Linked DNA regions of Rhinolophus ferrumequinum. The protein of the gene in region 1 purifies or fractionates together with the protein of each later gene. This does not show direct contact. Links are inferred from orthologs where the notes say so. Each region holds a gene or a part of one and is shown on either strand. Other genes may lie near its edges.

Region 1 (14,942 bases):
ACTGTCTTTTGGTCACTATACATACAAACTTGAATGCACAGCAAATGGCAGTCTCTCTTTTCCATGTCTCGTGTTTAGTTTAGATCCTCAGCTTGAAACGGAGAGGTCCCTGACTGATATGGGTGCTTCAAAGACTACACATTATAAGACAGCCTGAAGGCTCGTAAATATTCTCATTTTACTAGTGAGAAAATTAAAGCTAAGTCTAGAAAGGCCAAGGTGACCTTCCCTTAACACCTGGCTAGTTATTCAGAAGTAAAACTAAACCAGAACACAGGTTTCTTAACCACTCATTATTTTACACTGTTCATTCGGTTCCACCAATCATACGGAACTCATGCCTCAATTATCCGGCATTTTGCTGCTGTTCCTTAGTTAACCTATTACTTGTCTTTATCGGTGTAGATATAGCCTAAAAGTCAAGTATCTATGGATAGCGTTAGGGGGAGTCCCTGTACCTCCTGTAATTTTATACAGGATTATGAATATGTACATTTGGGGGGATAAGATTCATATCTTTCATCAAATCAGTAGTCTCCAGAGTAAAAACCACTGGCCCACAGCAAGTGCATCTGACACAGATAAAAAGTTCAGACTGGTTCAAAATAGAGACTCGAGGATGATGCCTTTATTCACACATAATAGAAGAATAACCTAATGGTATCTGGGGGAGTTAGCAATATCTAAGGCACCATTACACTTGGTATCACTAAAATAGTTGGACCAGTGGATCCAGTATAGAGAGAGAATCCCTGATATAGAAAACTAGTGTGTGGACTATTGCTCTCAAGGCCCTCTTTTCTTTTTCATCTCCCACTATAGATATATTCGACATACATCTCAGTAAGAATTCATGGGGAAATAATTGTGATATAATCTAATCACATTGAGACTCTAGCATGCATATTTAAATTAAAAATATCAGCCCAATTTTATCAAATGGTAGTTATGTGCCAGAATTAGGTTACGAGCTTAATAAACTATTTTTTTCCTCACAACTTCACGTAGGTACTAACTATTCTGACGCGTTTACCAGTGATGAAGCTGAGACTCAAAGGGGCTGCCACACACTCATGTTCCTCAGCTATAAGCTGGAGGGATGTGAATATGAACCCTGGTCTCTCTGACACCAAAGGCTTGTTCTGAAAGATCCCTATGGCGTTATAAGAAAATATTAATATTTAATTTTGCAAAGTTGAAAAAGCTTAAAATCCCACTATTTGAAGCTACCCAGGAGTGAAGGTCGTGCAGCAGGAGGCCTAAGCAGAGGAGAGGCCATTCAAGTCTTTGGGGCCATGATGCTCGTCTTGCCCTCCTAGGCTGTTGCCAATAAAAGGAAGACAGAAATGCTGGAATCTCAAAATATCAGAGAAGTCTGCTGCCTTTCTTTTCCCCTTCAAATAGGGTTATTGATCTAACTCCTTAACCAAAGAAGCTTTCTACATCATTTCAAGATCAGTTTTTAAATTGAAATCCTCCTCAAAAAATTTTAATTAAGATCCTCTCTTGATTTGCTGACATTTTCCACCCCCCAAAGAATTTCCAAATGTGTTTTTCAAATCCCTACTTTATTGCACACATTGAGCTGTCACCTAAGAAAGAACCACTCTCAGGGTTAGCCTGCTTCAACAATGAGAAAGCCTAAAATACCAGTAACAACACCCCAATTTTTATAGCCATTTTCATCTATGAAGTTCGTAACACTTGTCTTGGTCTGCAATGTTTGTAGGCACCTACCTAATCATTTGCCCATCGTATGGAGAAGAACCAGGCAGCATGATCTGTCCGAAATCAAAACAGTAACGATCTTTTTCAGAGCTTAACATACAAGCAATGTTATTCTCTATAAACCCGTGTTAGCTTCTAAGCACTTCAAAAATGAATATAGACTAACTTATTCACTCAACAAATCTGAGCACTTTCTGTATGCCAGGCACTGTTCTATTCTATCCTTACTCTTCTATAAACCGTAACACAGTCATTTAATGTCACTACAAGCTTCAAAAATCAAAACACTAAAACCAAAATTTAAGTCTTTCATGTTTTATTTCTAGTAAGTCTTACTGGCATCCTCAGACAATGTTTTCTTGTGGCATCTTTTAGTCACATATTTAGAATGCATAGAATCTTTACTTATTACAGGACAACCAACAACTCATCGACAATTTTAAATAACTAGGAAAGCCACTTTGTACTCGGAACTTATTTTAACAAAGGTCTTCCTACACGACTGAAAATTTCAATTTCATCAGCTCGACCTCAAAAATACAGGTGCCCCTCAAAAGACACAGCTCTGCTTATATGTGGATTTTTTTCAATAACCAGTACTGTTTTCTTCTATCCATGGTTGGGAGTCCGTGGATGGAGAGGGCTGACTCTATCTATACACTAACCTACACCATTTTATACAGGGACTTGAGCACCCACGGATTTTGGTATTCGTGGGGGCCCTGGAATGAATCCACCTCGGATAGCAAGGGGCAACCTAAGTTTTGGGGAGTCAAAAGGTATTAGATTTTTGACTGAGCGGGGGTCAGCACCCCTTAACCCCCACATTGTTAAAGGGTCAACTGCAATGCTTTCTCTCTGTACTCATTCACCAGATATATACCACCACCCAAGCAGTCTCACTTTTTAGGCCAACACACATTCCCAAAGACGAGCAGAGAGAATTTAGAAAAATCTAACTATCTATACTGTCCAGAAAAGAGATAATCTGTGAATGAATTGTCAATTGGCATCTGTCAAAAGCCTCAATGAGACAAATGATATTTCATTTGTCATCTGAAAGATAAATTAACTAAACTCTAATAAATCAAGTCACCAGAACAATGTCCACCTATGTTATTAAAGTTTTTCTATTATGCCTGAGGCTTTTATCTGGTTTCTCTACAATGGCATGTGAAAAATGTTTCTCTATCATTTGTAAAATGTAAAACATTTTCTTCATATATTGTTAATGTCATTTCATGTAAGAATTCAGACAACTATGTATTCTTCAGACAAAAGTCTGCCACTCCTGATTAATCGGTATACTTCCTCCCATGAATCAATGCCTACATGATTTGTACAGTTTCCTCTTTTGCTTTGACTAATAACTTAAAAATAAAAATAAAAAGCTTTAGTTACATGCAGATGGCTGAGCTATCCTTGCCCTAAGCTTCTCATTCCATTCCCTTCAGCCTCCTCCACTCAACCTTTACTATTTTCACAGTCCTCTCAAACACCTGTCTATTATTACAAGATCAAGGCAAATCCTTTCTCAAAGAAGACAAATAATAAAACGTATACATCCATTGGGCTTTCAGAATGAGCTAAACTCTTGAATGTCCAAAAAGCAGAGCACAAGGTGAACAAGATAAATCACTTGGCTCCATTACGATTTACACAAGTTAAACACGACCTTACCAGTACCTTCCTCCAGCATCCAAAAGAGCACGACACAGCTCTGTGATGGATCCACTGAAGGAATTCAGTGATTTGAATATCCACTTGCCAGACACTGATAGGAACATAAAAATGAGTCAATCCCGGGCCTCAAGGAGATTAAAGTCCTTTATTGACACAGAAGGAACCATTTGTAGGAAAGTGTACATAACTGTGTGAACAGCCCTGAGAAAACTCATATTGCAATAAATTCTGAGTCTAGTGCTCTGATGATCAAAAAACAATCTGACCACTTCTGGCCATGTACCCAAAAGTGAAAGCAGGGACTCAAACAGGTATTTGCACACTTAGGTTCACAGCAGCATTATTCACAAAGCCAAAAGGTGGAAGCAACCCAGGTGTTCACCTATGAAAGACTGGATAAATAAAATGTGGTTTATACATACACAATGAACTATTATTTGGCCTTAAAAAGGAAGGAAATCCTGGCACATGCTACAGCATGAATAAATCCTGAATGAATGACCCCTGAAGATGCTAAGTGAAACATGCCCAGTCACAAAAAGACCAATATTGTATAATTGCACTTATGCGAGGTTCCAAGAGCAGTCAGATTCACAGAAAGAAAAAGTAGAATGATGGTTGCCTGGGGCTGGGAGGAGGGCAAAAGGGAAGACTATGTTAATGGATACAGAGTTTCAGTTAAGGAAGAGAAGATGAAAAAGTTCTGGAGATGGATGGTGGTGATGGTTGCAAAACAACGTGTGTACTTAATTATCACAAAACTGTACACTTAAAAGTGGTTAAAATAATAAATGTCATGTATATTTTACCACAAAAAAGGGGGAAAATCTGAAATATTCAGAGAGAGATCACCTGAACATTTAAGGTTTCACAGTTTCATTCATTCAACAAGTGTTAACTAAGGACTTAACTACAGGTTATACAGGTTTTTCCCTGAAAATCCACTTGGGAACAGCAATGCTACTCAACAAAAAGAGCACACATGCAAGGATTCTGAAATCAAACCATGACAATCCGGGCTCTGCCACTTCTAGACTCATAACTTGAGGCAATTATCTCTGAGTCTTAGTTTCCTTGCATGTAAAATAAGGACAATATCTCGGCCACAATGAGGATTAAACGAGAATGTATATAAAAGCACCTGCAACATCTTGGCACATAAGGAGGCACTTCTTATTAATAAATGCTCCCCTTCTCTCCTTTGCCACAAGTAATGACCACAGGATGTTAAAGTCACAAGTGAGAGACTGTGCAATACCTACTTTCTCAAATGAAGCAAGCATCTCACATGTCAGACAGTGGCAGGGAATAAGTATCGCAATGCCATAAAAATCATCCTTCCTAGAAGGTGGCACTAGAAGGTGGCACTACACTTCAGGTACCACCCACTATGTAACACCACAAAATCACTATCAAATGAGATCATGAGCCACATCAAAATAAAACGTCTTCTAAAACCAAGACAATAAACTCAGCAATCACAAAGCAATCTCACTATGCAGTTCATACACGGGGCCACAAGCATTATACAGAAGGCAGAACTTAATTAATCTTTATTGATGAGACAGTAGAATAAAAAGTAGAGCAAGCCGTTACTAAAATAATTGCAGGAAGACTTTTCTCCCCAAATTAAATTTAACTAATACATCTTTTCATAAAACGGCATTTTGATGCCATGAATAAATCTGTAAGCCAACATTACCATTTAAATGCTTATTCCGTGACATATTAAAAGCAATCATTAGTGTTTCTAATCTACAAAGTTTTATAAAATATGGCCGAAGATGAAGTTTTGAAAATAACTGTGTGTATAGATATGGCATATATTACATCCAATACACTCGTGCCACAGGTAGCTAGTGTTAAAGACAACACTTGGCAAAATAAACTGATTATTCCAGAACCTAGTTCCTAAAGATATTAGCAATACTAAAGTTATTATTCACTAGCAGCCTCATTCAGAATCATGTACCATCATCCATGTAATAAATTATTGGATCTCTTGGTAAGATCGCTTTTTTTTTATTTAGAAAATTTAATGTTTATACCAATACAGTTCCACTTTAGTTAACCTTTTATTAAAACACATTGAAAATATATAATTTTCCAAGTTACTTAACTCCTTACTTCTGCCTTTTTCCAGTCACTGAGTTGCTGCACTTGAAAACTAAGCAACAAGAAGACAACTGAAAATCGTAACTGTAAAAATTCGGAAAATTCAAAGCACCTCAAGAAACACACACTTTAAAGTAATACCCTTTAATTGGATGAATGTTTTTAAACCGCGCTAGTCATAAGAACACTCAGACTTATACGGATCAGTAACGCCTCCCTTTTAAGCACGACTTTCTTCACAAAAGCACTGACTGAACACTATCCAGCGAGGATTCCCCACTCATCCCTGTTTTTGCAAATCTTCAGGCTGTTAAAGATACACTACGTGGTTTGTTAGCTCTGTATTGCGGGCAAAGCCATTGGGGCAGCTCAGCTTTTCCAGGTAATCTATATAAATCTGATGTGCTAACTTAAAACATACACTGATTTCCCAAAGATTAAAAACCCTTTGCAGGATCCAGACGTTCTGGCACAAAAACCTGGGAAGGGTGGAAAGATGGCCTCGGCCACCCGCCCCCTGGGACCCAGACCTGGTCACCTGCCAATAAACATGAACAATCCTCCCACTGCTCCCCGGGAGGGCCCCGAAGGCTCGCGCTTTCCAGCCAGCACGCGCAGCCCGGCTTCCTCCCCTCCCAGCTCTTTCCAAGGTGTCCACTGAGGCCCAGCGCAGTGGCCCCCACCACCGCAGGTCCCAGGATGCTCCCGAGACCCCGCTGCAGATCCCGCACCACTCCGTGCGCGTACCCGGACCTGTCAAACCCCTGGGGCAGGGCCAAGCGGTGAGGGCGCGCTCCCCTCCGCGTGCGGAGGCGCCCGCGTCCCCAGCCAGTGCCGGAGCGACCGCACAAAGTCCCTCCAAAGCGGCGAATCAGGAGCGGCGCCAGGGTCGGGGGAGGCGCAGAGCCCCGCGGGTGGACGCCGGCCCCGCAGGCCGCGCCGCCCGGGACCAGAAGAGGCCGCGCCATCTGCTCGCGCCGTCTCCGCCCCGCGGGCCAGGCCGGAGCGCGGGCCCAGGGCCGGGACGCCCACGCGGGCCCGGGCGCCGAGGCGGGCGCGGAGCCGGGCGGAGCCGCTCCCCGCCCCGGACACAAAGCGGCTCCGCGGGAGCCCGCCTCACCTGCAGCACGGGGCGCCGCGGGCCTTCGAGAACCATCGGACCCCGCTCCGACGCGCGCGTCACAGCCCAGGCCTCCCGGTGCTGCCCGGCGCCGCCGCCGCCGCCGCCATTTCCTCCCGCTCGCCGTCGCCTCGTCCCCGCTGTCAGGTTACTCCATTCACCTGGGCCTGGAGCAGCCTGTGCCGCGCCGCGCCTCCGCCTCGACCCCTCCCGCCGGCGCCTGCGGAGACTGCGCAGCGCCCGGCTCGTCCGCAGCCCGCGCACGGCCCGCGGCAACGGCGCACCGCGGCTTGGAGAATCCCACCGGCGCCCGCGCCGCCCCCTCCGCGCCCCCACGCTCCGCTCGTCCCGCACCGGCATGAGAGAGAGCCTGTGATTGGACAGAGTGTGGCGGTGAAAGGTTAATCCCGGCCCCCCAGCCACTCAGGAGCCAGGAGACAGCGGACGCGGCGGCGGAGGCCGAGGCGGCGTTTGCGGCCCAGCTTTTGGCCGGGACCCGGGCGTTCGACCGCCGCGGCCCCGCGCCTTTGCGACCCTCGTGGGCCTGCGCGCCGAGGTTGCGGACACTCGCTTAACTTGGCAGAACCTCTTGGCTCATGGAATTCGCCCGCCTCCATTGTTGCCCTTTCTGGCACCCACCGCCCTCTGAACGTGGCCCTGCCCCACAGCTGTAATTGTTCTCCGGAGGGCTCGGCGTCCGTTTTCCACTTCCCAACCCCTATTTCAAGGACCTTCCCACTTGCCTGCTTTTGCTCCGCATTAGTGGTGCGGGGCCCAACGCATTAGGCGAGACGACAGACCCCACCTCCTTCCCCACACCCCGGAGCTGGGATAACCAAATAACTGAGATGGGGACAGTGGCCCCACTTATGTAAATTGTTCATTTGCATAGGTTGCAACCGTGTACCATACCTCACAGCTGTGAATTAAAATATGGAGGCCAAGTAAGTGGCTGGCTTAAAGAAAATCCTATTCATTTATGCCAAAATGTAGACATCTCTTCCAGAGGACTCACCTGACAGGTTTACTCCAGAGGAGGTCTGGTAACAGCAACCATGCTTCTGCTCTCAGGAGTTAGCACTTAGCAGCACCTACTACGCGCTAGACACTGTCTAGGGCTGCACTCTTCAATACAGCGGCCACCAGCCTTACGTGGCTACTGAGCACTTAGAATATGGCCACTCTCTGCTGAGACGTGCTAGTCGAACTCAGATGTATGTGTTCTTTACCAGAAAAGAATGTAAAACATCTAATAATTATGTTGGTTACATGTCGTAGTGGTATTATTTTTAATGTATTGAAATAAATATCAGTTTCATCTTATTTTTTTAATGTGAGTGCCGAATGAATTTTAACGTTTCATGTGACTCGCGTTATATAATTTACTGTTGGACAGGCTGGTGTAAATAAGCCCGTGATCTTTACGTGGACCCTGTGAGGTAGGTGCTGTAATTGCTGCCCCCAACACACATACACACTATTAAAATGAAAACCTCCAGCAAGTAAACTAATAAATGAACAACTGAGATTTGAACCCAGGTATTCTGGCTTGGAGCTGATGTGCTCAGTCATTACTGTGCTCAAATTTTGATCATATATTTACTGTAAATTGGCTTGTAGGTTTCACTTAAACATAGAATGTTCATGGGTAAAATGAGGAAATAGTCAGAATGCTCTTGGCAGACTTCCATAGAAAATGTTTCTTATATTCCAAGCACAGTGGGAAATAGATCTCTCCAGTAGTATACAGAAAGGCTTTGGAGCCATAATCCTTCATGGGAGGATGGCATCTCAGGATGGGAACAGGTATGGGGGTCCACTAGCAATGGGAATTTGTGGGCAGGTTAACACTTTCAGGCCCTCCTGCTGTCCTCCCAATCTGTCAAAACTAGCTGGGCTTCTCCATCCACAGCTTTCTCTGATTTTCATCAAGTTAAACTTTTTTTTTAAATAAATAAGCACATATATACTATGTGGCTTGTCCATCAGAAACCATTAAAAAGTATACAGTAAAAATTATCTCTCCCCCGACACCTGTCCCCATGCCCAAACATGTAACCACTATTTTTTTGCTCCTTCTAGAGCAATTCTTTATGCATGTACAAGCCCAGGACGTTCCTCAATTTACAAAAATAGTGGTATGCCATACACATTTACTGTGCCTTGCTTTTTATTACATAATATATCAAGAAGATATGTGTATAGCAATATATACAGAGCTCCTTGCTTTTTTTTTTTTTTTTCCAATTCCCATAACATTTTATTGCAGGGCTATCCCATTATTTAACCAATTATCTATTGATGGACAGTTAGACTTCTAGTCTTTTGCAATTAAACATTGATCCACTTGGAACTGATTCCATACAAGGGATGTGGTATAGATCGAATTTTTTTTTTCCAGATGGCTACACAGTTTGCTATTTATTGGCCATTTGTTGAAGAGTTCACTTCTAGACTCTATTTTGTTCCCATGGTGTATCTATTCCTCCTCCAGTTGCTGGTTTATTTTAAATCTGGAGACATAAAATCTTGTAAGGGATAGTGTTTCATACTTTGTTTAGATCACTAGAAATCTTAGAGCTAATATTTCAGCCCATATTAAGCAGCAGTACAGTTCCATGTGGTATGCATTTTCTGTGGGCTAATTTTTATTTTCCCTTTGCCCTGATTATATTCCACAATTTGTTTCATTTTTTTTTTTTGGTAGAACAAGCCAGGATATAAATAAATATACCTTTGTTTAAGACTCTCTGTTTGCAAGTAACAAACCAATCTTAACCAAAAGGGAAGAATTTATCATAAGGATGTAGGAGTTTCTCACAAAAGCCAGGAGCAGAAATACAGCTGCATCATAGCTAGGGCCTACAACCAGTGATTGAAAAGCTTCCAGGAACCCGAAAGATAACTCTTCATGTCCTTCTGTGACATTTTTCCTTTGTTTTCTGCTTCATCTGTGCATCTCTCTCTACTAACTTCTTTTCTCTGCTTTACAACTAACACTGAAGAATACAGCCACCCCGTATTTATCTAGGAAGTCAGGCCAGTGTCGGGGTGTGAGCCCAGAAAGGGAAGGAAGGACAGCCATCCTGTAAAGTCAGGTGACTGATTATACAGGGGGGCTACACAAAGGAAAAACTATTGAGGATAATAGCAGCCAGCTTTCTCACTTTTGGAGAAGGGGTTACAAATACAAAAAGAAGAAAAGCAAGAAGGCTTGAGTGATTGGATGGGAATTGAGATGTCGATGTGAATTCAAGGTTTTTCAATATATATATATATATATATCTATTAAATAAATACAAATGTAAAAGTATCATATAGATGAGCTTAGAACATCTTGTGCCAGAGAGTATGAAAATGCTCAAAGAATGATGAAGACAATTCAAAGACAAAGCAGTCATCTTGAAGGGCCTCCTGCTGGCCAAATCTGAGACAACTTTTGAGCATCAAAATAAATTATGACAATACAATATATCCCATGCATATGGATATATCCATGAATCTACACTGATTTTTTTTAATGAATAAATAAATCGAAAGAAGAAACAGCTCTTCCTTTGAGTAGAATTCAACTGATAACTTTGGAAGGAATAATGGAATTGGAAAATCACCATTTGGCAATCATCAGCCAAGAAATATCAATGTTTACTAAATCTAGTGGGTAAAAGTTGGACAAGGAATGAGATAGTAATATAGTTTCAAAGCATCTCCCCATAAAATTATTATTTTAAAAAATGAGAACTTTACAAAAGAGAATCTAGCAGATACACCACCTTACTCAAGTATTCAAAGTTAACTGTCATGCAAGGAGTCACAGACAAACCCCCCAAGGCCACATGGTACATCTATAATGTGGGATTTATTGGGGGAAACTTACATGCAGAGAAGTGGGAGAATGAACACCGTCCCTTTAACTTTCATTATTACACAACATAGGCCAAGCACAGCTCTTGACCACGACCAAGGTTTCAGCAAGACAAGGCCTGCCTCTGCCAGCAACCAAGTAGGTGTACAACAGACAGAGACAGAGCCCAAGACAGAAGTGGGCCCCATCCCCACACTGCATTACATATTTATATGTTGGCCTAATTGGGGGTGGAGAATTTCTAGTTTCTCTAAATAACAAGAACTACGACAAGGGAACTGCTATGATGGCAGATGCATATGGATGGATATTGGGCCACAAAAGAAGGGGAGCCTAACAGTCCATGGGGGGTCAAAGAAGTTCTTCCTAAGTAAGGAACCCACGTAAGCTGAGACCTAAAGTGCTAGTGATCAAGTAAAGGGTAGGGGACTTCCACGCAGAAGGCCCAGGATGCCCAAAGCCCAGAGGCAAGGAGGTGTGGGGGCTCATTCAAAGAACTGAAAGAAACCCAGTGTTGACCCAACCATAGAGCAAGCGATAAGGAGACGGGGAAATGACACCAGAACGGAAAGAACTTATGTATCATGTTAAGGATTTGCTGTTTCATCTCAAAGACGAAGAAGCCATATAAAGGTTTTTAATCAACAGGTAATGTGATCAGATATACATTTTTAAAAGTGAACTCCAGCCCGTGAGGAAGAACAAAATTAAAGTGTTCATTTGCAACAGTGTAAAAGATAAGGTAGCTTTGACGAGGATAGTCAAGGGGAGAGAGATATAGCTGATTTAGATATATTAGGAGGGTAAAAATGTGACTCTTTTATAGTTCCAGTTTCAAGGCCACCAAGACTATTTTCTAGAAAGTAGAAGGTACAATTGGGGTAGAACATTGCCAGGGACCAGAGTTTTGCAATCTGACCAATGGGTCTTATTAAATGTAATTAAGATGAGGCGTCTTTACCGCGAGGCAAAACTTCTTTTGTTATTATTTTGCTCTGTAACAAAATATTAAAGCAGCTAACCATGAATCTTAATCTTCTCAAATAGCATTTTCAGTTAGAATAAAATGTAGAGAAAAAAAAAATACGCCAGTCAGGCACCTTCAGTACCGCTTTTACTGTCCCAGATTATATCACGCCTCTCTCAAGACTTGAGTAAAATTAACTCAATATTTCGTGGCATCTCTTTTTGGGGGGTGATTTTTAATTCAATCATGTTTTTTCCCCCTCACATCAGTACTGAATCCCTGAGGCTTGTTTAATTTAGAACTAAAGAACCCTGACCTTCAAACGATACGGTATTTTACAAGGGCAAGTTATCTAAAACGACTTTCTGCTTTTCCCAGTACTCTGACTAGCTCTCCTGTGGAGTTGCAGTATCCTTTCACTCCTACAGGGGAAAATAAAACAACAGAAAAGATTACAGCCATGTGGTGAGCGTATCAGTGTCACAGTATTTGACTGGTTTTTCCCCGCAATTGGAATAAAACAATTTCCCCGTACCTTAGCATCAGCTTTTTCATTTGGAAAAAGAGTGTAATCTTGATTTATATTGAATTGTTGCTCAGTAAACAACATTCAGGCAGCATTCCTACTTATGCTAAACAAATTTTTAAAGAAGCTTGGCAGTAACAAAACCAAGTTTGCCTACATATTTTTAAATGCAGTTAAACAGATCTGTAGACTTTTAAATTGGTTTTAAGTAGCTTTATTATCCATTTCTTCTCTCCTCACTACATTCCCCACCCCATTCATTTTCCTAGACAAATGAAACTTATCATTTTTTTCTTAGTTCTCATGCTCCAGATATCCTTCCATCCAATTCTCTTCCGCATGTTGCATGAGGCAAACAAATCAGAATAAGGCAACTGCCAGGGTAGCTCCCTGCTGTGGTCTGAATATTTATGCCCCTTTCTCCGACCCCACCCCCGCCCTCCCAATTTCTGTTGAAAATACATTGAATACCCAAGGTGCTGGTGTTTGGAGGTGGGGCTTTGGGGAAATGATTAGGTCATGAAGCTGGGGCCCTCATGAATAGGATTAGTGCTCTTTCTTTCTTTTAACATAAAAAGATACACATGCTTTACTTAAACTATACCAGGAAGATACCAAATTTCAAGATAATGCTATCATACCTCCCAAAACAATAGAAACCTTATTTTCTATTTTTCAGAGGGTTTTAATTGTAGGCTCTGTTGTACCAATGCGTATCTCTGCTTTAAAGATTTTAACTCTAAAGTGGGGACCAGCTTTGGGAGAAAATATGAAATAGGGTCATACTCAAGGGGCGGGCAAAGCAACAAGACAGAAGGAACCTGGGCCTGGACAACATAGACGTCCTGCCTGCCTCGGGACTGTTACATAGAGAGAAATAAAATACAGCCATTGTCTTTTTGGGTTTCTTTGTTGCAGCAGCTTAGACTAATAATGCTCCCAAATCTCTCCCCAGCCAGGAAAGGAAGCTGTTGCTTACTGAGGGCACCAGGTCTCCATGTTCCAGGATGTCTCTCTTTCAGATTCTAATGGCAGCTCCTGGCGCAGGAGCTCACCTGTGGAGAGACGTATAAATCTGTATTTTTCCACCAGTTTTTCACACTGCATACCTTTGCCAGAGCCAGAAGTCAGAAAAGAAGTCATGTATCAAACATGTATCCCAAGTCTGTTGCCTCATTTTTGACTATAGTCACCATGGTGGGCAAGCCTCGGGGCTTCATTCACTGAGCACATATTGAGCACTTACAATTTACCAGAAGCCGCGTTGGGAGATGTGGGTAGAATGAAGAACGGGAGCTAGTCCTTGCCCTCAAAGAGCTCACTGTCCATGGACAGTGGAGCAGGTGCTACAGACAAATAACAAGTGGTTACTAGATGTGGTCTAGTGGGGAGGAGTTCAGGTTGCTAAAGGGGTCGAGGGGAGGGGTACAGGACTCCTTATTGGTAGAGATGCAAGACAGAGGCAAGTTCCCTGGGGAACTGAACCCGCTCATTGTGCAAAGCACCGACCACATTGAGCACATCGTGGGTGCTCAGCAAATGCTAGCTGTCAATTTTTAAAAGAAATTGTTTCCATTTTCAAACAATCACCAACTTACAGAAGACTCATGAATACAAAAAACTTTCTGGAACATTTGAGAAGAAGAAGTCCCAGAGAGCTTGCTTGCCCCTTCTGCCACGTGAGGACACAGTCAGAAGTCCACAGTCTGCCTCCTAGAGGAGGGCCTTCACCAGAATCTGACCGTGCGGACACCTTGATTTTCGACTTCCAACCTCCGGAACTGTGAGAAATACATTTCTTTTATTAATGCCAGTCTGTAGTATTTTGTTATAGCAGCCCGGACAGACTGAGACACTCTCTGTGTACGTCTAGTCTCTGGGTGCACTTTGGCATGCAGTATGTATTAGTTTGCTAGGGCTGCCATAACAAAATACTGCAGACTGGGTGGTTGAAACAATAGAAATGTATTTCCTCATGCAGTATGTATTAGTTTGCTAGGGCTGCCATAACAAAATACTGCAGACTGGGTGGTTGAAACAATAGAAATGTATTTCCTCACAGTTCTGGAGGCCAGAAGTCCAGGATCAAGGTGCTGGCAGGCTTGGATTCTTCTGAGGCCTCTCTCCTTGGCTTACAGAGGGTCACCTTCTCCCTGTGTTTTCACATGGTCTTTCCTCTGTGCAGCCACATACCTCACGTCTCTTTCTGTGTGTCCAAATTTCCTCTTCTTGTAAAGAACTAGTCATACCCACCCACACTTACTCATTTTACCTTAATCAGCGCCTTAAAAGCCCAATTTCTGTTGGTGCCCAATCTCCAAATAAAGTCACCTTCTAACGTCCTGGAAGTTAGGGGTTTGGCTGATGAATTTTGCAAAGACACAATCCAGTCCATAGCACTATACAATGCTTCCACCATCAATGGGGTCACAGGATGCATGTAACTGTCCCCCGGAATACCGTCCCAATCTCAACACTGGTGGAAGCCATTTCCCTCGTTTATTCACTGTGTAATTAGGACCTTCCCTCTTCAGTAATAATTCAGAGGGCAGAAAAGAGGCCATTAAATGTCAATCCCATGAAATCTCCTTAACTTCAAGATTCATCTCTTTCCGGATCTAGGATCATCGCTCTCTATTTCCTGTACCACATTGCTTCTAGACCGATTTTTCCAACAGAGATGTGACTGGATCATTCTGTGATCACAATCTTCATTTGCAACCCAGGCAAACTTTCTAGTGTGTCATTCAAGGTCCACTGTAACCCAGCTTCTACATGGTTTCTGGCCTCATGTCCCGTCCTCTCCTTGGTTTTCCCACAGCAACGTCACCCGACTGTAGCACGGATCACATCGCCATTTCTTCTTCTCTCTGCCTCCGCACCTTCCCCGCCAGCCCACTGCCCCCACTAAGCAGAGCTGCTCGAGGGCACAAACAGT
Region 2 (14,942 bases), on another chromosome or scaffold:
GGTTTGTCATAGTAGTCAGAAAAAAGATCATCTAAGTAAAGCTGTGAACGAGAAATGACGTCCATCACTCTTCTATCTAAAAGGACAAAAACAGAGAAACGTGTTCAGAAGACAGACAAAAACCATATAACTGCATTTATAAATACATGAATCTAAACCATCAGTCATGAAATGATTTGGCTTTTAAATTTAAATTCATCTTTAACAGACAGAATTACTGAATAGACGACCTCAGGTGTTCATCCGAGAAGAGAAAAAAATACATTTGAAATACTCTTCAATGGACATACTTCTTTCAAATAGTATATTTCTCAATCTGTAGAGCGCTGCAAACGTTGCTGTTTCTTCCCTTTCAAATCCTCCTTTTGTCACTGAAGTGACACAAAGGTCTATAAAAAAAAATGTAGAAGATGTTATGACTTGAACAACTCATATTTTTACAGTTGATGTGACTCTGGTTGATGAATTCTGGTACCTGACATCGTATTTTTTAAGTTAAATTTTATATGTTTTTAGAAAGGCAACATTCATATGGTACAAAATTCAAAGAGTACAAAAAGTGACAAGTCTAGTCTACATTGATTCTAGCCTCAGTTTTCCACCCCAGAGGTAACCACTGTTAAGTTTCTTGTGCATACTTCCAGAAATATTCCACATATTTTACATGCATATATGTGTGTGTGTATATATATATATTCTTCAGGCTCAAAAAGTTACATACTACACACATTTCTTTCAACTATTTCTTAAGAGATTAATCCATGTCAGGATGTATAGTGCTACCTCATTCTTGAATCTTAATGGCTTCATAGTAGTCTATGGATGCAACATTACTTAACTAGTTGCTGATAATAGATTGTAAGGTTAGCTCCAATCTCTTGCTATTACAAACTGAATATCCTTATACCCATAAAATTTCACATATGTATATCTGTAGGATAAAGTCCTAAAAGTGTAAGTAAGGCTAAAGTATATGCAAATTTAAAATTCTGATGGATATAACAGTTCTATCTGTTTGTACTCCTCCTAATAATATAATTGTAAAAACCTACACCTAAAGTATCCCAAATAGAATTAAATTTTCATGTTTTATTTTGTTTCTGGACTCCCTATTTCCCCACAGAACTGCAGAAACAAACAAAAACTGTCTAAAATTGTTTATAAATTACCATGGCTAGGGGGCTTGCTTGCCTCATCCTTTAGGCTACACTTAGACTTGAGCTGTCTAGCCTCCTAATCTTAAAGAACCGTGAAATGTAGAAATCTAAAGTGAGCTGCCCTGGGGTATTATATAAGGTGATAATTTTAGGGGAAAATTTATTTTCCCCTAAATATGTATATGTATATACAATATGTATACATATATGTATATGTATATATGTATATGTAAATAACTTTTAAAGTTATTTTTCAGGGCAAATTGAGGGGAAAGCTGGATCTATGACAGGTAAAACTGAAGGAAAGTTATCTTCAGGTAGCCTAGTTTGGGCATCCTGACACTTTAAGGCATCTTACTGTCTACTTTCTCCTCTGTTTGCCATCATGAAAAATTACCAGTTAGAAGGTCATTTATTATCTCCCCACGTAAGTCAAGGAATGCTTTGTCAGTGGATTGCATTTTAGCTCTCATCTATAATTTTAAGTGGGGTGGTGGGGAGTCTATAGCCTCCCTCTACCAAGAAGCCGGAAAGAGGTATTGGGTAAGTAGGGACTGGAGGATCTTTCCCAGCTATTTCACCCAAGCATAAGATTGACAGTACTCTGAGAGCATCATTATTCTATAATGAGAGAGAGAAAGAGAGAGAGAGAGATTCCTATTAAATTCTTCTTAAAATATAATCAATTCAGTGTTTCATGAAAATCATTCACTCACCAAAAGCACCATCCAAGTAAATGAAGAGTTCAAAAACACTGAAAGCTATGGTTGTGTGTGCTGGAAAAACAATAGCTTTGTCCCTTCCCCTGGAATTCTGTTCATCCATAAAATGAAACTATATTAAATAAATAAATAAATTATATAACATTATTAAGGATCATAACATGAAATGATAGCTTTTTGGAGAAACAAAACATCCTACAATCCTACTCAAAAAAAACAAAAAACACCTCTCCAACTAAAGAATGATCCTAACTGAAATAAACTTTATAGCATAGGTCCAAATGGTCCAATGGGAACTCGTGACCTGTATTAGGAAATACCACTCACCACTTTCTCACTTACTTCAATATTAAAGCCAATGATTAGTGCTAACACAACAGTAATGATCTCTGGTATAGAAAACCTTTTCTTTCAATTGCAAACCAAGTGCATTTAAGTTCTACAGCTTTTTTTAGCCTACCCTATCTACTGTTCCAAAGTCTCCAGCGCTTTCAGGAGCTTTGCAAAGCAATCACCAACAAGTAAATGTTTCAGTACCTGCCCAAATGATCCAATGTTAATTTGGTGGGCGGCTAAATGAACAGAACCTTTATTTGCAAAGACTTGAAAAGATTATCATTGAACCCTATCGTTCTGAAAATTGATTTTAATGAAACCAATCAAGTCATTATTATTATGCATCATTATTATGTGAATGACAAAAGGACGAATATTGTAATTGAACTAATGATTACACACAAATTACTTTCAAGATTTTTAAAAAGATTTAACATTGAATGAAGCATGTTTAGCCATTGACAATATTATTTTAGAAAAAATTAATATAAAAATGTAAATTCAGCTTTTAAAAATTCAAGTATCAACTACATCACTTAAAAATAACATCAAATAATTCAACATAAGCATCTAATTTTTATTCTCAAAACAGCATTTAAGTAGTAATAGGAGGGACTGCAGTATGCACGTTATTTCACGAGGATTAGAGTTTTGTTTGCATTATATTACACATGTTTAGAATCAAAATTTTCTTGATTTTTTTTCACATTCTAAGACAAAACATTACTGTGCAAAATCCTATATATACCATTGCAGCTATTTAATCTCAACATTTGACAAAATGCATAAATCTCATTAGAAATTTTTGAAAATTCCCATTGCAGCTTTTTAGCAAGAGAAGCCTAGTGAGTGTGGTTTTACCCGCATGGCTTCCCCACGAATTCCAGCGTGCACAGACAGTGAGCACTGTCGTGTGGTTCGAATGCTTTCCATGACCACACACAAGACTGCCTTTCTGCTGCTCCTTGCCTGACGTATCAAGCTGTGGTCAAAATTAATTTTTCTAAAATAAACAAGAGAGACATTCACAAGAATCTGTAACATCTGATTACATATAATCCAGTACATTTTTCGCTATCATGTGTTTCTCATCCACGGTCCACCTTAACTAAAAGTAAATCAAGACAGGCTTGATTTACAAGCCAGGAAGTATGCTCAAAAGAAATTTAATAATCTGCTTCTCCTTTCTATTTTCTTAAGACATGCTTACTATAGGTGTCTACTGGAGAGGCTCTCTTGGCACACTTGTTGCAAGCAGATTCCTGTATTCTTTTAATCTAATAATTTTGCAAATATGTGTAGATCCAAAGCAATTTTGTGGCACAATTAAAAATTCTTTTTGAACCAAATGATTTTGGATATCTACCCTTATCCAAAGTTAGGGTATATTACTAATTTGTATTATTTCAAATAAAAAATTACATTAGTAAAATATAACCTGAGTGTTTTACTCATTCTTTATAATGAAGTTTATATAATTAAAATATTTAATGAAAACACTGAAGTATAGTAAGGATTATTATACTGACCGTGTAGTAATTTCCTTGAGTAATGTTGATACTTCCACCTCATGTTTGGTTACTACACCAAATGACGCTTTTACTGCCACAGAATCTGATCCAGTAACATTAATCCCAACATCATTCACAATATGGTTGCCTCGTCTTCCATAGAGTGAAACATCTGATTCATCCTCATAATTCAGTAACTGATAAGATGAAACACCTTTAAAACAAGAAAATTAATATTTTTCAAATGTCTCGAATTTGTCTAATTTAGATTACATGTGGTAACATGTTAATTATTTAAGGCTCAATGACCCAAATTTTGAGAAAGGCAATGTTTCAAACCAAGATTAAAAATAGCAATTCAATTAATTAGACAAGAAGAAATAGAGTACTTAAATGAACTCAAATTCTACAGAACTTCTGAAGCATCAAGATCTCCTGGGTCGTTCAAAGAAAAACAAGTGTTGGTAAGAAATAATTTGTCAAAATGTCAATTTATTTTCTAATCTGGCCTGTAATGTATTTAACATATTTTAGTTTACCAACTGTAATAACTGAATCATAAAAAATACAAATTACCTTCATCTCATTTGACCCTGTGAGATAAGTAAGACGTAATAATAGCCCCATTTTATAGGTGAAGAAATATTTATTATGTCATATTCTAAATTGATTTGGTTAAAAACAATTTTATAAAATAATTGAAATAAAATTATACAATAAATAATCTTATAAAATAGGCTTGAAAATTATTTGAGCAATGAGACTTGCTACTATTATAAACTTTAAGCACTATTAATCATGTTATTACTGCCATAGCAATAAAAGTTGCTTTTATCAATGAAAATGTGTAATTATGAACATAAGCAGTATATATAATCTATGTTTAGATTACCAATAATATAGCTGAATGAGCAGACCCAAACAGACACTAAAACTTACCAGCTGAAATTTCTCTGTCTCCTAGAAGAATATCTTTCAATGTAAAAGGTGTCGAGGTAAATTTATATCTGGGAAACAGAAAGCATCGTTTCTTTTTTACCACCAGACTTAGAGGTTGGTATTTGTCAGCCTCACTGAGGCTTGGTACCGGAACTAATCTCCCTCCATCTCCAACTTGCTTGACAAAGCTCTTGGTAGCAGCAACAAACATATTAATATGGTATCAAAAGGCGATCAACTGCAACCCTCGGATAAAAAAATCCATATTGTCAAAGAAAATCAGGCACAAAACTAAGTCTTGCTGGATTTTAAATACAATTATATATATTAAAACTACAAAGCACGGTTTCACCAAGTAGTTTACAGAGCACAGTTCACAACACTGCCTCCCTTGGTGTGCTCAGGTGTTGAATTATAGATTAACAGTGTAAAATGATATACTAAAAGTAAGTCTAATTTGGAATTGCAGTCTATAGCACTAAAATATACCCAGAAAACTAGTAATTTTAAAATACTACCAATGTCCTTAAAGAGGGTCAAGGTTAGTAGTGGCTTGCCAGTTTTGAGGGACACACACAGCCTTATGGGAAAAACTATGCAGTTTAGACACTAACATTACCGCTGGGCACCAGCTACAGAGGACCTAGTCCATAGGGAATTCCCTGTCTATTATGCCAATTTTGGCAACAGAGAAGTGCTGCTTTGAATCCTGATGGTATAGTTTGTTTGAGCATTCCATTCATTTTCCTTGTATGCTTGCAAAATGAAGTAATTAATATAAAAAGTAAATTCACAGATTATAAGCAAACAATTGTATGCTTTATAAAAAATATCTTTATAAAATACTAAATGGAAGCCACATTGCATACAATAACTGTATAAACTCAGATGTATGGGTTTCTTACTCAGGAGCTGGCACGAAGACATCTCTTTGAAAGAGGGTCCTGCTTCATTTATTTCCTTTTTGTTTCATTATTCTCATTCCAGTTACTCAACCTTTAAAGATAGCTACATAAGATTTTGGCTTGTTTCAAAGGAATTTTGTGGCTAAAAATACATTTTAGAAACAAATCTGAGGGCTGAAATATTGTATTGCCACAGTTATGTGGATGTTGTATTTTGAAATAGTGGCTATGTGGTGCTCACAAATTACTCAAAACAAATAACATTAGTGGACAGTAACTGATACTATAAAGAGGGGGTTGGGGAAGAAAGAATAGGTGTAATTCAAGCCTCAAATAATATAACCAATTTGATTAGATTCTGGACATTTTTTAAATCTGCAATCAAATATACTCGCATGCAACCTCAAAGAACAGTTTTGAGTAGTCTCTCGGTGCGAATAGGATTATGAAAAGCAATCTTCTAGAACACCGAGAAGACACACAGAGCCATTTCTGCAAGTGGCTGCAAACCCCTAGAAAAGCCACTGGACATCTAATTTCGCTGTCGGACCCCCCCCACCAAAGGTGACGCATCCTAAGCAAACCCGATTACAACCAATACCACAGGTGTGCAGAAACAGCATTTAATAGGAATCCGGCCCATTGAAAAGCCGTAGTTTACACGTAACAGGCCTAGCTGGGATCTGCGCGCCCAGCATTCACTTAGCGATGAAAGTCTAGAAGACAATGGAGCCCACGGGGAGGTAGAGGAGGGGTGTAGCCCGACGTCCCTGCGAGCTCTTAAGGGCAGGTCTCGGGGGCCGGAAAAGCTCAGCGCAGCCCTCAGGAGCTGATATACCCAGAGTCTCAAGCTTCCCGGCCAGGCCCCGGGATGCACTCTATAAATTTTGCATTTGGAATTTTGAAATCTTTTTCTTAAAGTGACGCAGCCCTCATCCTTTCCTCCGGCCCAAAAATGACTGGGCTTCGGGCCCCACAGAATCTGCGAGCCTTCCCGCCCGACAAGCCTCCTCTCCAGGCAGGAAACGGCCTCCTTTTAAAGACACAATTGCGGCTTCGACCAGGCCGGAGAACAGGGTGCCGAAACACACGGAGGCCACAGGATGGGAACCCGCTGAAGCAGAGGAAAGCCAGGGCGGGGAGAAGGGGCGGGGCCAGGCGCCGAGGCCTCCGGATGCCAGTGGGCGGGGCCGGGCAGGGAGACAGGCAGGTAGCCAGGAGAGCGAGGGGGCGTAGCCGGGAGCCCCGGCCCGAGCTGCCGCACGGAGGCTCCGCCTCCGCCCCCGCCCGTCCCTTTCGCCAGAGGGACGTAAGCAGGGAGGATAAGGGGAGCTGGAAAGGGAGAATCGGAAGGGAGAAGGCGGCGGCGGTGGCGCTGGAGTGCCCCTCTCCGGGACCGGCGGACCCGGGGAGCGAGAACGTCACTGCGCACTGTTCTTCCGCCGTCGAGCCGTCCCTTCTCGCCATGTCCCAGAGCAGGGATCGCGCCGCGGCCCTGCCGCTGGAGCACGAGGACAGCGGGACCTTCAGGTCAGCGCCGGAGAATTCCGGGCCGAGCCGAGCAAGGGACAGAGTGGCTGGGCAAGAGGGGCGGGGGCGGGGCAGCGGCTCTCGAGCGGCATTCTGGGTAAAGCCCCTTTCTGGTAAAGCCCGCCTGGGAGGCTGCGGGCAGACCCGCGGCGCGCGGGCTGGGTCTGCGGCCCGGCCCCGCCCCTTTTGCGTCCTGGGGTGGCGGGCGGCGTGGGCGGAGATGACACTGGGCCTCTTGGGAAATGGGATTTGTGGGTTTAGTCGTTTGAGGTTGCAGCACTTCTATTAGTCTACGAATCCGTCCTACCTGCATTCAAGTTACCTCCTTAAAGACCTCCCTCAACCCTGCCAGCGCGTGCCTCATGCCGGCCGCTGCGGGTCCGGGAGATGGTGCGCCTCGCCAGCTCCGGTCCTGGCCGCCGGGAGCTTCGGCGCTTTCTCCCGTCACCGTTGGTGGCGGTCAGACAGAACTGGTCTCTATGCTTCTGCTTCCCTCCCGGTTTTGATATGCACAGCACACCTTTTTCTGGTTTTTGCAGTTTGGGGAAGATGATTACAGCTAAGCCAGGGAAAACACCGATTCAGGTATTACACGAATACGGCATGAAGACTAAGAACATCCCGGTTTATGAATGTGAAAGATCCGATGTGCAAATACACGCGCCCACTTTCACCTTCAGAGTTACCGTTGGTGACATAACCTGCACAGGTCTGTATGCACAGTTAACCTTATGGACCATGCAGGTTGGCGGTCAAGATTTGGCAGCATCAGTTTAGAAAAGTGCCCTTTTTACTAGAGACAGCTATGAGGAACAGGTTCTTGAAACTGAGACCTCATCTCAGGTTATTGGGACTTTCCAACTTCATCTGATTTTTCTCCCTAGTTTTCTCATCCCCAGATACCAAGAGAAGCTCATTAACATATCCTGGGATCCTCCTAGGGTTTTTCCAAGAATTAGGGAGAAGCAGGAAAGATTCTTGAAGCAGCCATAGCTAGATCAGTAGGTGCTGTCAAGTTTTATAGTTTCGTAGAGTATAGTAGATGCCAGGAGGCATGACCCCAGAATTTTCTGAGCCTCTCTTCTTTGTGTATGGACTCATTTGCTGCGTTGGACCCATTATACCACACCCAATTCTGTATCCAAGCAGAATGAGGAAGGTGAAAGGCTTGGATACACTATATTGCATAGCAGTATTTCCTGACACTACACAGGTATTTTAATAAGCTGTTACCTCCATTTTTATATATGACAGGTTCAGAGAGATATAAGTAACACGCCCAACATCACAGTAACGAAGTTTCAGAATGCAGATTCACCTGGTTATGGTCTGTGAGTTTCATAATTAAAGCCCATTTGTAAATGTAGACATTTTATTTCTTAGGTACCTATGTAATTTCAAACAAAAAATATTGAATGCTGAATTTAATTTGGAAGAATGTCAAAAAAATTCAGCAGGAATACTGAAGTCCCACCATCTGGCAATCTGAAGGCATCATTTGTTTGTATCCCTGAAAATCTGGAGTTTGCTATTTTCATTGAAGCCACTTAACAGAAAATTTTGAAGCTTTTTGTCTGTGTAAGGCAAGTGGATTGGAAATGCTAGTTGGAAGATTCCCTATATGAACCATAGAATCAACATTGCATTACTGCTTTAATTGGACTATTTATATTTTTGATAAATTTTATTGGGGACTATTAGGGAACAGTGTGTTTCTCCAGGGCCCATCAGTTCCAAGTCATTGTCTTTCAGTCTAGTTGTGGAGGGCGCAGCTCAGCTCTAAGTCCAGGCACCGTTTTCAATCTTTAGTCACAGGGGATACAGCTCACCATCCCATGTGGGAATTGAACTGGCAACCTTGTTATTCAGAGCTTCCATTCTAACCGACCGCCCCTCCAGAAGCTCAGTAGCAGCTTGATGTCTTCAGTCTAGTTGTGGAGGGCGCAGCTCACTGACTCATGTGGGAATTGAACCGGCAACCCTTTTGTTCAGAGCTTGTGCTCTAACCAACTGAGCCATCTGGCCGCCCCTAGCTGGTCTATTTTTAAATATTCAGTGAAAATTCAAGAAAAACTAGCCTTTTACCCTTCAATGTTTTACAGACTAGAGATTGACAACCTATGGCAACCATTCTGCCGAGGCCCCTACTCTGCTCACCCTGGACTGCCCCATCTTCCTGTACAAGCTTATCTGCCTCCACAGCTTCAAATACTATCTAAAGACTGATAATTCTGAACTCTCTGTCTTCAGCCCGGGCCCAGGTGCAGAACAGTGTAGCAGCCTTTGTTTGCTGGACATCTTTGCTTGGATGACCCAAAGACACCTCAGTCTCGTTGACTCCAACTGAATCCATCTTCTCTCTCAAATCCATTTCCCCTGCTTTCCAAGCTCAGTAAAGACACCACCAGTATCCATTTGCTCAGAGTAGAAATTTGGGTCTCATCTTCTTGACTCCTTCCTCTCCCTCTGCCTCTTGTCCAGTCTGTTCCAAATCTTACTTCCTAAATATCTCTTGAATCTGTCTGCTTGTCTCGTCTTCTGTTTGGGCCACTGTCATCTTCCACTTGGATTACAGTTACAGTCATGTAGCTGTTCTTTCAGCTTTTAGTCCTGTGATGCCCATTCTCTGCACGACCACCGGAGTGTTCTTTGTGGCATTCAAATCTGTTCATGTACTTCCTCTTCCTAAAATTCATTCAGTGGTTTCCCCATAACCCTCTGCATAAATACAGATAAATACAGGTTTCTTAACACGACTTACAACCTTGCTGCTCAAAATGTGATCAGCAGCAGCATTAATATCACCTGGACACTTGATGGAAATGCAGAATATCAGGCTCCATTCCAGACATAATGGATCAGAGTATGTGTTTTAACAAAATTTACAGGCAATTCCTATGCACATTAAAGTTTGATAAGACAAATTTAGGACACTGTTCTCTGACCTCTCTCCCTACCCTCCAACTCTCTAGTTTTTTATCTCAAAATTCCTTCCCTCAAGCTCTTCCGGTACCCAACTACTTGGGGCTCTTAAGAACTCCATGCTCTGTGTTACCTTTGAGCCTTTGCTGGTGTTCTTTTCTTTGCCTAGAATGTTCTTCGTAACCCCCAGCTTTCTTCACATTACTAGCTTTCACTAATCTTTCAGGTCTTCATTTAGTTAATCTCTTCCTTCATGAAACCTTTCTGAATCTTTACCAAGAATAGACGAGCTGCCCCATTTGTATACTCCCCTACAGGCTGCACTTGAGCCTGTCATTACACATACCACTCCACATTTCAAAGGCCTATTTATAGACAAAATACTAAGGGCAGGGACTCTTGTTTAGTTCTCCACTCTATTCCTAATACCTGTGTTAGCGGATAAATGAGTACGGTTTTGTGTCCTCTAACACTTGAGGATCACACTTGAAAGGTCCCCTTTGTTTCCTCCACACCAGAGGAATGGACATGAGCATTCTGATACCACTTTCGAGGGGTTCTCAACACCTAGTTTGAACACAGAAGGAAAAAGACTGAATTTACCATTTACTAGGTGTGATTGCTTACTGAAATTTGGCATCGGTCTCAGTGATTAGTCAGGCCTATTCCTTGTCTCCCCATTAGCTACCCATGTAAGGATACAGATTGTATAGAAGACGCATAACGTAAGCTCTCACTTTCTTCCTATATAAACCTAACTAACCTCCCTTACTAAACCTAACATGTAGCCACAACTGCTTTGCCAGGCAAGGGGGTTTAATCCAGTCTAGGACAAGCTGTTAGAATACAACTGTGCATCTTTCAGTGTAGGTGGCTCCCTTGAAGGAAACTTCTTGCCACAGAAGAATTTCTCCCTGTGAATAGGGGAAGAGTAAAATACTAAATTGCATTTCTTCAGGTGTGACAGCCTACTTTTTTACCATTTTAGGTAATAAATAGACATAATGTAAACATGATGTCAATTTTTTATACAGATATGCCTAGAATTAAATACATAGAACTTGAAAAGTCATGATTTTTTTTTAATGTATTTCATGTGGTTAATATTTTAGTGTGTAACTGTATGTTATGTGTATGTTTTTATTACCTAATGTGTATATGTAAAACGTATAGTGACTTTGTTTTGTATTATGAAAACATCTATGCAAAACTCAGTTTTCACAGCATATACTTTTTTGTTGTTAACCATAATTCAGGTGAAGGTACAAGTAAGAAGCTGGCGAAACATAGAGCTGCAGAGGCTGCCATAAACATTTTGAAAGCCAATGCAAGTATTTGGTGAGCTCAATTTCTTTGTATTCTGCAGCTCAAAATTATCATGGCTGAGGTAAGATTAAAAGTTTGAATATGCTCGCAAGTGGAACAGAGTGAACAGTTGTTAGTGTTTGCTCTAACATTCTATTTCCTTGTGGAAACCTGTTATCCATTAAGGACAACTGTATCCTTAAGAAATTAAATACAGTATGAAGTGTTGAATGAATGCTCTCTTGAACTAGGTGTTGTTGTTTTTCCTGGATGGCGTGCAACAGGAGAAAACCAGAGTTTGCCTGGCAAATATCTTACTGTATTAAGACTTTAATTATTTCCACACTGAGGAAAGCAAGGTGTGAGATGGGAAAAGATTAGCGATGAAAGTACCCTGTGAGGAATTCTAATTTGGAAGGAGACAAAAAGATTTCCTTTTATTATAGCATGTATACCAAATATAAGAGGGTGTTAAGTGGGATGTTAATTCTTGACATATCTTTCCAAAATAAATTTTGTTGGTGCTTTAGTTACTTTGGAAAGAGTATTGGCCCGGGAGCATCTCATGTATCATAAGGTAGTGTCCTTCGGTTTCTAGTTGCTTCTCTTTACGTGTACTCAAGTATACTTGGGTAAATCTGGTATATCAGCTCATAGTTGACAGCAGAGGCCCATGGAAATTTAGGATGGGTTTTTTTTAGCCATAGCAAAATTTGACTTAGGGATGTATTTAGGTTCTCATGCAGTACTCCTCTGTTTTTCAAAATTATTCTAACCATTTGAATAGTTCAGAACTAACCAGTGTAAGCCTTGGATCTCACAAAATGATGCTAAATTCTCTGGGGTCATATATTGTAGTCGATTTATGCCAGTTTTCTAGATATACCAAATGGCATGGCAGGAATTGGATCTTCCCCTCATTGGTGATGGCCATGCTATTTCTGTGCAGCCCAAAGGTCAACCCAAAGTGTTAAGTATATTTGTAGAAATGACCTAGTGTCCTACCTATACATGGCACTTCATTTTGTCAGCAAAAAAGGCTAACCCACTTACTATATATTTGTGCTTCTTGACAGATAAGATGGGAATTACTAAGCTGTAATGAGGCCTAAAGTGGCCTCATTTAATACAGAGACTTTCTCACTTCTCCATCACAATTATTTGGGTAGCTTCGGCATGCAGCATTGTAAGTGAATATTCATATCTCATCAGCCTATGTAAAGCTTGAAATTGTGGTAGTTAGAAAACAAACTTGAGGAAGTGGCAATAACTGAACCTCGTTTGTCATGAAAGAGATGGTTCTTCAGTTGCCTAGGTGGTAGTAACCTTGGAATGCCACTCTTCCAGTGTCAGGCACCCATCACCCAAGTAACTAGTATTTCAAACTACTTGAAAGAGATTGTTCTCTTTTTCCCTAATCACAAGCCCCACAATCTGAAACCAGATTCATGCAGGCCACCTATTTTATGCAGGCTACATATACATCTTAGGAGGATTGTCCTAGCATAGAGCAGATAATATATCAAAGTTAGACAGATAGATAGATATAGAGATAATTCTTCCATAATTATCTGAATAAAAAAAGCTATATTTCCGATCTATATTATTCACATTGCTAGACTAAATTTTCTGACTAATTGTTAGTCTTCCATGTTTGTGTAGTTGTAACAATAGTATGCTTTATTTAAATACATTTTATTGAGCACATATTATAAAAAAAGTACTACAAGGTTTATGAAGGTAAGTGATACATAGGTCCTACCATCAAGGAATTTATAGTTATGCAGAGGAGACTCATATGAGGGATGGACAAATTATATGTATTTGTAAGAATGTATAATTTATGGTAAAATAATTTGCTTAAGAAAGGGTTACACCAGATGTTATAATGGCTCAAAGAAGGGAGAAATTATGTTCCATTGGGGTAAATAGATAGGCTTTTTAGAGGAGGTGGCATTTGAAATATACCTTGGATGATGGATAGATCAGATTTTCATAGAAGAGGAGAGAGAGAAGGGCATTCCATGTAGAAGGAACAGCAAGAGCAAAGACATAGAAGGTTAAATAGAAAGTGCTTGTCATTTATTTCATAATTGGAGGAAAATTATTTGGTTTTATAACACTTTAAAAAAATGTTTAGCTTTGCAGTTCCTGACCCCTTGATGCCTGATCCTTCCAAGCAACCAAAGAACCAGCTTAATCCTATTGGTTCATTACAGGTAAGTCGCACAGTTTTTCCTTACTTAGCATTTTGTCTACTGAAAAGAAGATGTCATAAATTGATAATATCACAGGGACAAGACAAGGAATTAGTATTTAAAGATAAGATGGTGTAATATTTTGTTTTTTTACATTATGATCATTAGATATTATAGCGCTAAGTTGAAATTATTTTCCTATTTATTTATGGATTTTCTTCCATACACAGTATCTGCCTTTGGTTTGTGGAATTCTCATTTGAGATCAACAGGACCTCAGTGCACATGCGTAGAGTTTTTTATACTTTAAGAATATTTCTTGCCACTCTTGTGACAAACCTCTATCTACTTCTATTGAGACAGAAGACTTTATAAAGAACCCAAATCGGGTAATCTCATTAAGGAATAGGAAAGTCTGTTTGCTTATTCTACCAAAAAATACATATTCAGCTTTGAATTTCTGTATGCAAAATATCCTCCTTGCCGATTATCCGTGTGCTCTGTTGGACAACTCCTGTCCCCGTTATCCAACCAGTCCTTTGGACGCTTTCCTGCTCTATGAGTTTTTCTGTAGTTTAATTCTTCTTTTCTCAGCCTCGTCCAGGTCTGTTTGTTTGCCATCTCTGCTTCTCACTTGCTCTTGATCAAATATAGTAGTCAGCCAGCTGTGGGTATGGAAGTCTATAGCTAGGAGGGGAGAGGCTGTAGGAACTGATGGCAGTGACACCTGTAGATACCCTCTCTGATGTTTCCAAAGAGGGCAGTAGTAGTTTATCTTTCCATTTGAACTTTTTGATCCCAGCTCACTATGGCTTAATGGAAGACGACCATTCATAGCAGGAGACTTCTTCAGTTTTGTAACTGTGGGCTTCTAAGATAAAATGCAGAAGTATCTGTGGGAAATATAGCGTCTTCCCTCATTTCTCCATTGCAGAATATATAACTAAATTTTCAAACATATAAGTGGGATGAAAATTGTGAAAGAGTATCATTTATGTGATTGAGCCATTGCATAGTAAAATGACTACTAAAGCCTGATGTTGATTTTCCAGGAATTGGCAATTCATCATGGCTGGAGACTTCCTGAATATACCCTTTCCCAGGAGGGAGGCCCTGCTCATAACAGAGAATATACCACAATTTGCAGGCTAGAGTCATTTATGGAAACTGGTACTTATTTCTTTTTACCTTCATATAATTTATAAACCATAATTAAAAGCATTTATTTGAGCAAAAGGAACTACAGCCTGGGAGAGACAGATTCGGGTAGCAACCTAAAGTGTGTTCCTCCGATACAAGGGGAGGCTGCCTTTTATATTGAAAATTCCTGCCCAGGTTCCCATTTAGGTCCGTTTTATGTAAATGAGGTACCCACATTGTGCAGTTCTGATTAGATGGGGCAGATCTCAGTGTGTTG

The links.
Region 2: the proteins of DICER1 (region 1) and PRKRA purify together in Homo sapiens (co-immunoprecipitation; 4 studies listed by BioGRID and IntAct, with this or other methods). This does not show direct contact. The link is inferred for Rhinolophus ferrumequinum from reciprocal best matches to the Homo sapiens genes DICER1 and PRKRA.

What each region holds. Positions count from the first base shown.
Region 1 is NC_046289.1:8,181,034-8,195,975, reverse strand, and holds the start of DICER1 (endoribonuclease Dicer), read right to left. Parts: upstream 6,827-14,942; 5' UTR 6,808-6,826; intron 6,786-6,807; exon of another isoform or gene 6,647-6,785; intron 1-6,646. UniProt on the Homo sapiens protein: Double-stranded RNA (dsRNA) endoribonuclease playing a central role in short dsRNA-mediated post-transcriptional gene silencing.
Region 2 is NC_046291.1:47,474,873-47,489,814, forward strand, and holds the start of PRKRA (interferon-inducible double-stranded RNA-dependent protein kinase activator A), read left to right. Parts: upstream 1-6,769; 5' UTR 6,770-7,035; coding exon 7,036-7,100; intron 7,101-7,407; exon of another isoform or gene 7,408-7,416; intron 7,417-7,639; coding exon 7,640-7,809; intron 7,810-11,278; coding exon 11,279-11,360; intron 11,361-12,403; exon of another isoform or gene 12,404-12,513; intron 12,514-13,467; coding exon 13,468-13,546; intron 13,547-14,577; coding exon 14,578-14,695; intron 14,696-14,942. Other genes in the region: PJVK (pejvakin), read right to left, coding at 1-76, 291-389, 1,874-1,991, 3,077-3,218, 3,745-3,940, 4,666-4,876. UniProt on the Homo sapiens protein: Activates EIF2AK2/PKR in the absence of double-stranded RNA (dsRNA), leading to phosphorylation of EIF2S1/EFI2-alpha and inhibition of translation and induction of apoptosis.